3 linked regions of the Ovis aries genome follow. The protein of the gene in region 1 binds, or shares a complex with, the protein of each later gene. Links are inferred from orthologs where the notes say so. Each region holds a gene or a part of one and is shown in the gene's direction. Other genes may lie near its edges.

Evidence for each region.
Region 2: TXNL4A (region 1) and U6 snRNA-associated Sm-like protein LSm3 share a complex: the UniProt entries of both Homo sapiens proteins name them as parts of the precatalytic spliceosome. The link is inferred for Ovis aries from reciprocal best matches to the Homo sapiens genes TXNL4A and LSM3.
Region 3: TXNL4A (region 1) and PRPF4 share a complex: the UniProt entries of both Homo sapiens proteins name them as parts of the precatalytic spliceosome. The link is inferred for Ovis aries from reciprocal best matches to the Homo sapiens genes TXNL4A and PRPF4.

What each region holds. Positions count from the first base shown.
Region 1 is NC_056076.1:701,787-705,530, forward strand, and holds the start of TXNL4A (thioredoxin-like protein 4A), read left to right. Parts: upstream 1-855; 5' UTR 856-934; intron 935-1,412; 5' UTR 1,413-1,427; coding exon 1,428-1,580; coding exon of another isoform or gene 1,581-1,659; intron 1,660-3,290; exon of another isoform or gene 3,291-3,351; intron 3,352-3,649; coding exon of another isoform or gene 3,650-3,719; intron 3,720-3,744. UniProt on the Homo sapiens protein: Plays a role in pre-mRNA splicing as component of the U5 snRNP and U4/U6-U5 tri-snRNP complexes that are involved in spliceosome assembly, and as component of the precatalytic spliceosome (spliceosome B complex).
Region 2 is NC_056080.1:116,710,670-116,713,154, forward strand, and holds U6 snRNA-associated Sm-like protein LSm3, read left to right. Parts: upstream 1-1,287; 5' UTR 1,288-1,300; coding exon 1,301-1,609; 3' UTR 1,610-1,912; downstream 1,913-2,485. UniProt on the Homo sapiens protein: Plays a role in pre-mRNA splicing as component of the U4/U6-U5 tri-snRNP complex that is involved in spliceosome assembly, and as component of the precatalytic spliceosome (spliceosome B complex).
Region 3 is NC_056055.1:10,447,209-10,450,961, reverse strand, and holds the start of PRPF4 (U4/U6 small nuclear ribonucleoprotein Prp4), read left to right. Parts: upstream 1-1,027; 5' UTR 1,028-1,111; coding exon 1,112-1,144; intron 1,145-1,880; coding exon of another isoform or gene 1,881-1,883; coding exon 1,884-2,061; intron 2,062-3,753. UniProt on the Homo sapiens protein: Plays a role in pre-mRNA splicing as component of the U4/U6-U5 tri-snRNP complex that is involved in spliceosome assembly, and as component of the precatalytic spliceosome (spliceosome B complex).

The sequences.
Region 1 (3,744 bases):
TATGGATGTGAGAGTTGGGCTATAAAGAAAGCTGAGCACTGAAGAATTGATGCTTTTGAACTGTGGTGTTGGAGAAGACTCTTGAGAGTCCCTTGGACTGCAAGGAGTTCCAACCAGTCCATCCTAAAGGAGATCAGTCCTGGGTGTTCATTGGAAGGACTGATGCTGAAGCTGAAACTCCAATACTTTGGCCAACTGATGCGGAGAGCTGACTCATTTGAAAAGACCCTGATGCTGGGAAAGACTGAGGGCAGGAGAAGGGGAAGACAGAGGATGAGATGGTTGGATGGCATCACCGACACAATAGTCATGGGTTTGGGTGGACTCCGGGAGTTGGTGATGGACAGGGAGGCCTGGCATGCTGCGGTTCATGGGGTCGCAGAGTCGGACACGACTGAGCAACTGAACAACAAAAAATGTTTAGAAATACTAATTTCAATAACTTATTTGGGGGGCATTTGCGTCTTACCAGTACTCTTCTGTTAATGAACCGCTTTTCACAAGTAAAGCAACTGTGCTTGCGTCTGGAAAGCAGGGCCTCCAAAATAATTAGGGGGCTCTGTGTGGGAGTGAACGGCGACGAGCCCTTCTTCAGAGAGGTTATCCTCTTCGTTCACTCCCTGGTCCCAGTCGCACCGAGGAAACTTGAACGCCGACTCACTGGAGACACAGTAGGTCTGAAGCAGCCGCCGCCTCTAAGACGCTCATGACACTAAACCCACCTTCAGCCCCAGTACCTGAGCGGAGTCCACGCCCCTGCCCGGCCCGGGCGCGCGCACGCACTGGCCGGCGCACACGCTCTGCGGGCGCGCGCACGCACTCGCCGGCGCTCACGCTCTGTGGGCGGGCGGGCTCACTCGCCGGCGCTCTCGGCCTGTGGGAGCGCTCCGCGCCCGGAAGGACTGCTGAGCGGGAGGGTCCGGTGTGGGCAGAGGTGGGTGCGCGGCTGGAGACGGTGGGAAGGGGGCGGCGAGTGATGCGCGGGTGTGCGATTCCAGGGGTCCCCTCGCCTTGGTTTCTTGGCCGGGGGACAGTGGCGTTCCTGTGGCGGGATCGGGGTCGGAACTTGGTAGACGCGGGCCTGGCCCTGCGGGCGGCGCATCGACTGCCCCTCGGGGTGAGCCCCCGTGAGCCGGGGGCTCCGTGGGCTCCGTGGTGAGGCTCCGTGGGCTCCGTGGTGAGGCTCCGTGGGGTGGGGCCCCCGTGGTGAGGCTCCGTGGGCTCCGTGGTGAGGCTCCGTGGGCTCCGTGGTGAGGCTCCGTGGGCTCGGTGGTGAGGCTCCGTGGGCTCCGTGGTGAGGCTCCGTGGGGTGGGGCCCCCGTGGTGAGGCTCCGTGGGGCGGGGGGTCCCGTGGGTGTGCCATGGGGGGGCTGGGAGGAACTGGCCGGTGATTTCCCTCCACTCCCCCGCAGACCCATTGGCTCAAGATGTCGTACATGCTCCCGCACCTGCACAATGGCTGGCAGGTTGATCAGGCCATCCTTTCGGAAGAAGACCGCGTGGTCGTCATTCGATTTGGGCACGACTGGGACCCTACCTGCATGAAGATGGATGAGGTTCTGTACAGCATTGCTGAAAAGGTAAAGCAGCCACACCTCCCGTCACGTCCTGCCGCCAGGTTTGGTGTTTGCATCCTGTCGGATTGCTGTTGTTTTGCCGGTAAGAATTAAAAGTACAGCCAGTTCACCGGTTAAAGAGAAGCAGTAGGATTCACAGAAGTACAGACATACCTTGGAGTATGAGGATGGGCTCCCTGAAATTGGTCAGAATAGCTTATATCCTTACTGGCAGAAGTTTCCATAGATTCTCAAATTTTTAAGAGGTTCATGATGTCTCTCCTTGAAGAAGTGATTCTTATTAATTTATAGCGGTTTTAACTCATAGGTGTTTTCAAAAATTTACATCTATAGTGCCAGGAGCAAAACACGTTTGCAGCATTTGGCTGAGTGTAGGAGCTTACTTTGAATGGCTTAGTTTAAAAAACTTGACTTTTTTTTGGTACCGTGTTTGTTTGTTGTATGTATTGAGCAGAACATCTATGGTAACAACATAGTAAATTCCCTTCTTTTTCTTTGAGTCCCTTCTTTACCCCAGGGTGCTCTTTGTAAGTGACTTGATTTATAGCTTAGAGTGATACCAGTGTAGGAAACACTGGGAAAAGGTAGAACTGTAATGTTAGAACTAGTTTTCCTAATCCTTAAATTTAGTACAGGGGGTTGTCTGTGGCCCTTTGCTGACAATAAAGAGCAATTGTAGGGTACTGTTGAGTAACTAGGGCTTAATTCTCTTTCTGTAATTGTCTCATGGGTATTTTAAGGTAAATTTGATTTAGATTTTTGCAACTGTAGTAATAGGGCAAGAGGCAAAAATATTAGGGTATTAATAAAAAGTTTAATATTCAATGTTAATTTGAGAGGTTATTCATTTTATTAAAGAGTATAAAAATAAGGGAAACATTGAAGCCATCATTTATTTCACAGGAGTAAGATATGCTAGTATGGGCTGGATTAAAATAACTCCTTTGAGTAAAGAGTAACAGGTGTAAGGATATAGTTTGTATTTAGGAATTGAAAAGTAGTCTGACCTGCCATCAGTAATTTTCACTGTCTCCTCTTTGGTAGGACAGGCAGAGTGAGGTAGGGGTGATGGCACTCTGAACATTAGGGACTATCTTTCTGTGTCTGTCACCGAAAGTGCATCTCAGAGAGTCTGATCCTGGAGATCTGAGATGAGATCCAGAAGCTCCCCCAGGAATTCTGAATCCCTTCAAGGAGATCCAAGTCAGAGCAGGAGTCTGTGGTGATAACCTTACCCTCCTCTTCCTCTTGGACAGAAAGGTGTTGAGGGAGCTTGAAGAGATGCCTGGGGAACTCAGGAGAGCAGGGTTCTTCCAATTGGGTCCTCCCTGTCAGGTCCGAGGTCAGGAGTGAGGTGGTGCCCAGAAGTCATTTCCCCATGACTTGAGCCACAGTGGTTAAGGGCAGAGACTGCAGAAGTCAGTGATGATGGATGAAGACCCTGTTTCAGTAAGTGAATCACTGCTGTGTGGACGCTGATGTAACTTAGGTGGGTGTTCTGGGTTCTGCCTTGCAGGTGACAAGTAAGCATCAGGGGATGTCCAGACCCGGTGGCCCTCAGCACGAGGCTAGAATGGCAGAGGCGTGAGGGTTGTTTGCTGTTCATATCTGAGCAAAACTCAGCAAGATACTCTTAGCTAGGAGACAGATTTTGTGTCAGTGTAAGTTTTTAGGGACTTTTACCAGAATTGTTCTTTTCTAATCCCTATGTAGCGGTCAGAGACCAGATTGCTATACTGCTAGCAGGTGGCTCTTTTTGGAATGGAACCTGTTGGTAAGAACAGTTTAATTGGGCTCACTTGGAGTATTTTTCTCTAGTCTTTTAAGTGATTCTTTTTCTTTTATCCCGATTTCTATTTTAATAAACTTCTAATACTATGTAATAGTATAGTCTTTAAAAATGCAAACTTGAAATGCGTTACACAAATGTTAATGTTCTATTTTCTGCTTAGTGTAAGGGCAGAATATGAGTTTATAATTTTGGAAGCCCTTTTTGGGGACGTTCAACAGGAATTTTTGAAATCTAAGGTTTTAGTATAAAGAACAATTTAACTGTCTATCTCCCTCTGCAGAAATGGCAGATAATGGGAGATCTTCCTCATCTTGTTACGAGCTCTGTTTGGATACCCCAGCTGTTTTAAAGTGAGTAAAATTCCAACATTGAGGC
Region 2 (2,485 bases), on another chromosome or scaffold:
AATGTGCTCAGTAGCTCAGTCGTGTCCAACTCTTTGCAGCTGCATGTAGCCCGCCAGGCTCCTCTGTCTATGGGATTCTCCAGGCAAGAATACTGAAGTGGATAGCCATTCCTTTCTCCAGGGGATCTTCCCCACCCAGGGACTGAACCCGGGTTTCCTGCATTGGTGGGCAGGTTCTTTACCATCTGAGCCACCAGGGAAGCACCCATGACTTAGTACAGCAGGGATACTAAGGCAGACATGTGGACTCCTTTGTTGGACAACTTTGGCTCAAGGTCTTGCAGAAGTTTCCTTAGACTGCCTGGTAGTCTCAACTGCTTCCATACATCCTTTTCTCTTCTTTCCCTCCTTACCAGTCAGGCTTCACTCACAGCTCCTTCTCTATTTTCTTTTTTTTTAAATATAAATTTATTTATTTTAATTGGAGGTTAATTACTTTCATACAGTCATTTCTCCTAATAAAATCTTGCCGTGTTTAATCTTGTTTTGACAAGAGCTTCTTGGAGGTGTAGAATAACATAAGTAGAGTGGGTATTTGAGATTCAGGAAACAGTGTTTACTTCCTAGGCCTAGATCTGAGTCACATGACTTGGTAAGAAAACCCAAAGCTGTGAGACTTCAAGAAAACTTAATGTTTGGTAGCTGTATATGCATGACCAGGTTATCAGGAATAATAAAGTCAAAAGGGGTGAGGAGGAAGATGCTGGGGCACTGGCTGCAAGCCCTGTCGTTGCCTTCTGCCATCCAAAAGCTGGGGAAAGATCTCTGAGTGTCTTGGGGAAGCTAGTATTTTCATTCGGCACCATCTTACGTGGCTGGCTCTGGTTTGTCGGCCTGGCTCCAGATGTCATTCTTTTCCTCCATGATTACCAAGTGGTTGCTACATCATCACGTGAGAAAATACTGGGTAACGCAGTAGAGAATTTGGGATCCAGGCTTTACTTCTTTCCTAAAGATGATCTCATTTGGTCAAGGTCTGTCTTCCAACTTCCAAAAATCTCATTTTTCTTGGTTTCAGCTTTTCCACAAGTTCTTTGCTATGTCTTTTGTCTTTGTAAACATGAAATGTTTTATTTTCTTCACTCAATTAAAATGCGTTTTGTGGGGACTTCCCTGGTGGTCCAGTGGTTAAGAAAGACTTCACCTTCCATTGCAGGGAATATGGGTTAGATCCCTGGTCAGGGAGCTAAGATCCCACATGCCTTGTAGCCAAAAAAACATAAAACAGAAGCAATATTTTAACAAATAAAGACTTTAAAAACGGTCCACATTAAAAACAAAACTTAAGAGGGTTTGAAAGATGGCGGACGACGTGGACCAGCAACAAACCACCAACACTGTGGAAGAGCCCTTGGATCTCATCCGGCTCAGCCTGGACGAGCGCATCTACGTGAAGATGAGAAACGACAGAGAACTTCGAGGCCGGTTACACGCTTATGATCAACATTTAAATATGATATTGGGAGATGTGGAAGAAACTGTGACAACTATAGAAATTGATGAAGAAACATATGAAGAAATATATAAATCAACAAAACGGAATATTCCGATGCTCTTTGTGCGGGGAGACGGCGTTGTGCTGGTTGCCCCGCCATTGAGAGTTGGCTGAAACGAGAATCCGCCGCCTGTGGGAGACGGGCTGTGCTGTGCGGTGGCCTCTTTGAGTGTGGAAGATGTTCCAAAGAGAGACCGATGTGCATCTTGATGCTGAAAATAAGCAAGAATTCTTCCACTCCTGAAATAAGTTGATTTGTAGATAACTCACAAATACTTCAGCTAAACGGCATTTTTATTTTTCTCCAACCCTTCCAATAAATGTGATCGGCGCGATACAGAAAAAAAAAAATAAATAAAAAAATAAAAAATAAAAAAAATAAAAAAAAATAAAAAATAAAAACAAAACTTAAAAAAATATTCATATGTTTTCAGCTCTTCCTTTCTTTTGAATTCTTTTTTTTTTTTTTTTTGGTGGGGAGAAGTACAGTTGCTTTACAATGTTGTGTTAGTTTCTGCTGTACAACAAAGTGAATCAGCTATATAGCTCTCTTCTTTCCTTAATATTTATTTATTTGTTTGTTTGCCCTGGGTCTTAGCTATGGCACACAGGATCTTCAATTTTGTTGCGACATGTGGGTTCTTTTAGTTGTGACATGTAGGATCTAATTCCCTGAATGGGGATTGAACCCCAACCCCCTGCATTGGGAGCCATGTGTCTTAGCCACTGGACCACCCAAGAAGTCCCACAGCTCTCTTCTTGAAGAGGCAGGTGTGTGTTCTGAAAAGAATGGGAATGGAGATGGAATCTCGACTCTACCACTTCCTACATGTGAGACTTCGTGGAAGTTAATTTTATGAGCCTTGATTTTCTTGTTTATAAAATGTAGATAACACCACCTACCTCCCAGGATAGTTGTGAGGATTAAATGAGTTATGGTATATAAAAAAGACCTTGTACATAGTAGATATAGAAAATATTAGTTCCCTT
Region 3 (3,753 bases), on another chromosome or scaffold:
CAGATTTCTCAGGAGGCAGGTCAGGTGGTCTAGTATTCCCATCTCTTTCAGAATTTTTCACAGTAAATAGGCATTATTATCGGAAAGAGGCCTAGGGGAGAGGAGGGGGCTCTTTCCAGCTCTGGAAACATCAATATTTTGAGCATCTCCACCCCCTACAAGGAGAAGGAAATGGCAATCCACTCCGGTACCCTTGCCTGGAAAATCCCATGGATGGAGAACCCATGGGGTTGCAAAGAGTTGGACACGACTGAGCGACTTCACTTTCACTTTCACGCCCTACAAGGGGGCAAGAATCTTGTCTTGTCCGCCTCTGATGCCCCAGCACCCAGGGCAGCAGAGTCGTGCAAGTTGCTTGCTTGCAGTTTACCTGACGCCTCACATTCATCATCTCTCTCGGAATAAGACAGAAAGACCTGCTGAAGACAGCAAAAGCGGGGCGTGGCTCCTCCGCCTGGTCTTTATTTCACTTCGGCGCTAGAGGGCTCTTTGAACTTATTGTTTCACCACTGCCCAAATTCACCGAAAACCTACCCAGCCCAGAAGAAACTGCCAAGAGAACTTCCTGACAGTGGAGGAGAACAGCACTCCCGCCGCAGCTCCTGGGCTGCACTCAAGGGTCCAGGGCGAGAGTTTCCATGGCAACATAGGCCTTGGCGCCAGGAGGACTTAGAGCCCCTGGCCGGGCCGGGAGCCGATAGTAGGCCCCGGAATCCCTCGATTCGCTCCCTGAGTTCAGTTCGCAGCCGCGCGATTCCCCGCACCTACCTCTTTTCAGGCCTGTTCAGTCCCTTTCCGGAACCTCGGCGCCCACCCCGAATCATCCGCTAAGCCAACTGGACTACACTTCCCACACTGCCTCTGAGTTTCTCTCTTCGCAGAACCTTGGCCTCCGCGTGCTTCTCTCTGAGGCTCTACAGATCACATCTCTCAACTCGCCCAGACTCCCTCCTACTACGATTCCCATAATGCTCCACGCCTCCCAGGATGCTGCGTCGGACCTAGGACCACTTCCGGTTGGTGACGTAGTTCCGCTTTGCTGGGCGCGCGGTGGACGGTCTGAAACGTAGAGCGCGGCTTTCGCTGAGGCTTCGCGTCCCCGGAGCCCAGCATGGCTTCCTCACGACCCTCCTCCACGGTACAGGTCTCATTCTGGCAGGGAGCGCTGAGGGGGTGGGGGGGTCCCTGCGAAACAGGGCCATTAGGGAACGGGCTACGGCGGTGGAGGGCCGAGGAGGAAGGCTTCGGTGTTTTCCTAATTCTTGGGTGCTTCCATCTGTTTTAGCTCGTTTTCACCTCTCACTCCAGCCCCGAAATGTAAATATCTCTTCCGTCTGGTTCAGAAACGGAGCTCTGAAAGGGAGTAGAGTCTTGGCCAAGATTTATGACACTTTCAGAACTCTTAATTGTAACGAGGCCTCCTAACTTATCTACTGCTTCATATCCGAAACGTTTGAAATGTATGAACAGTAGCTTTCTAACTTGGCCCCCGTACCATCGCGTTGGTTATTTCAGTTATCCTTGATACCCCTGTGATGAGCAGTAATTGTGGAAATTTCATAAAAGCCAAGAAGAGATTTCACCTGCTGCAGCCGTATGAAATACACATATTCAAGAGAAAACCTTTGACAGAAAAATCAGCACGAGAAATTGACTAGTTTTATCCATCTCTTCCTATCTACAAAACTTAAGTGATTAAGAGACTGGAACCACTCTTTCCCTCCACCCCCAGATTAAGGAAGACACATTTTAACTGGTGTCTGGTTTGTCCTTTGTGTGGGGAAGAAATAGGTTTGAAGCTCTAAATAAGCTTCATTCTGCTGCGAAACCTATTAGGCTGCTAAGATTAAGCTTTAGGTTAACCTAGGTCTTTGTTTTAGCAGGCAACCAAAACTAAGGCACCAGATGACTTAGTGGCTCCTGTTGTGAAGAAACCACACATCTATTATGGAAGTTTGGAAGAGAAGGAGAGGGAGCGTCTGGCCAAAGGAGAATCTGGGCTTTTGGGAAAAGAAGGACTCAAAGCAGGAATTGAAGCAGGAAACATTAACATAACCTCTGGTAAGATTCAAATTGTGAGTTCATCTTTACCTTTGGTGCTCAAATTTTCTGTAATGATTACCTTCTTCATCTTAAATATCACTAGTTTATGTCAAGAAACTACAACTAATAAGCTTGCACCTATCAAAGTCCATATTCTCCACCTACCTGACTTGGTCTTATCATCCAAAGAACCTTTTTCTTAAAACCTTTTATACAGTTTTCCTTCAGTAAACTGTTAGTAATTTTACTAGGAATTTATTTATTCAGTGTGTATTTGAATTCAGAGTGATTTCCTTTGTCTTCTGGAGATCTAGTGTAGTTCTGGCGTTAGCTTGGAGCTACTGTGTTTCCTAATATTCTCCTCTTTTTAGTTTTTCAACTGTTTTTCACCCAAAATGAAATTATCTCTTCTAAATTTTAAAGTGATAGCCATCTTTATTTTGAAAGCAATTAAACAATAAAGAAACATATGAAGTAGAAAAACCTGTAATCTGTATTAATTGGAGCTATGTCATTTCAAGAACTTAATAAAGCTATAAAAATACACTTTTTTTTCCCATAAATGAAATCACGATAAACCAATTGTTTTGTAAGCTGCGTTTGTCATTGTGATACTGTTAAATGGGCTTTCCTGATGGCTCAGTGGGTAAAGAATTCACCTGCAGTGCAAGACACAGGAGACAAGGTGGCTTTGATCACTGGGTGGGGAAGATCCCCTGGAAGAGGAAATGGCAACCTACTGCAGTATTTCTTGCATGGAAAACCCCATGGACAGAGGGGTCTGGTGGGCTACAGTCTACCAGCTCTCAAAGAGTTGGAAACAAGTAAGCCAGTAAGTATGCACACACTGTTGAGGGTATTTTTTCATGCCAGTAACTAGTAGTCTACTATATTTTAAAAATAAAATCATTCATGTTTGTCATAAGAAATTCAGAAAGTATGGAAGGGTATAAAAAGACTTCTGTGCAGATAGGACTTCTGTTGTTTCTCATCGACCCTCCCACACATTTTCTTTTCTATACGTGTGCACTTTTCATGAGTTTTAAACCTTTTATGTTATTTTAAACATGACTGCATCACCCTTGTACTTCTCACTTCTCATCCAAATGCTTGTTTTTTATGTGAGTTTTAAAACTAGCTACTAGATTATCCAAAAAGCCTTGTAGTTAAGGCTTTATCATTTTCATGGTAATTATTTCCAGTTCACTGTTAGATTTGTTAGTGTTCCTATACTGAGACTATTTCAGAGAGTAGCTTTGGCAACTGTTGAAATAATGTTTCTATTTTGCCATGGATAGAAAGCCTAGATAACTTGTTAAAAGTGCTCCATATTCTCATTGTCTCATGAAGGCTGTGTGTTTATGTAAGTGTAAGTTGCCAAATGAAACAAGATGACTTGAACCAGTTTCTGGCCTTTAAAACCTCATTTAGTTTTCTGTGTTTGGCATACTTTAATAAACTGAGAAACTAAAGTTTCTAACAGATTAGTTAACTGTCCCTAGAGGCATGCAGCGGAGAAGGCAATGGCACCCCTCTCCAGTACTCTTGCCTGGAAAATCCCACGGACGGAGGAGCGTGGTAGGCTGCAGTCCATGGGGTCACTAAGAGTCGGACACAACTGAGCGACTTCACTTTCACTTTTCACTGTCATGCATTGGAGAAGGAAATGGCAATCCACTCCAGTGTTCTTGCCTGGAGAATCCCAGGGAT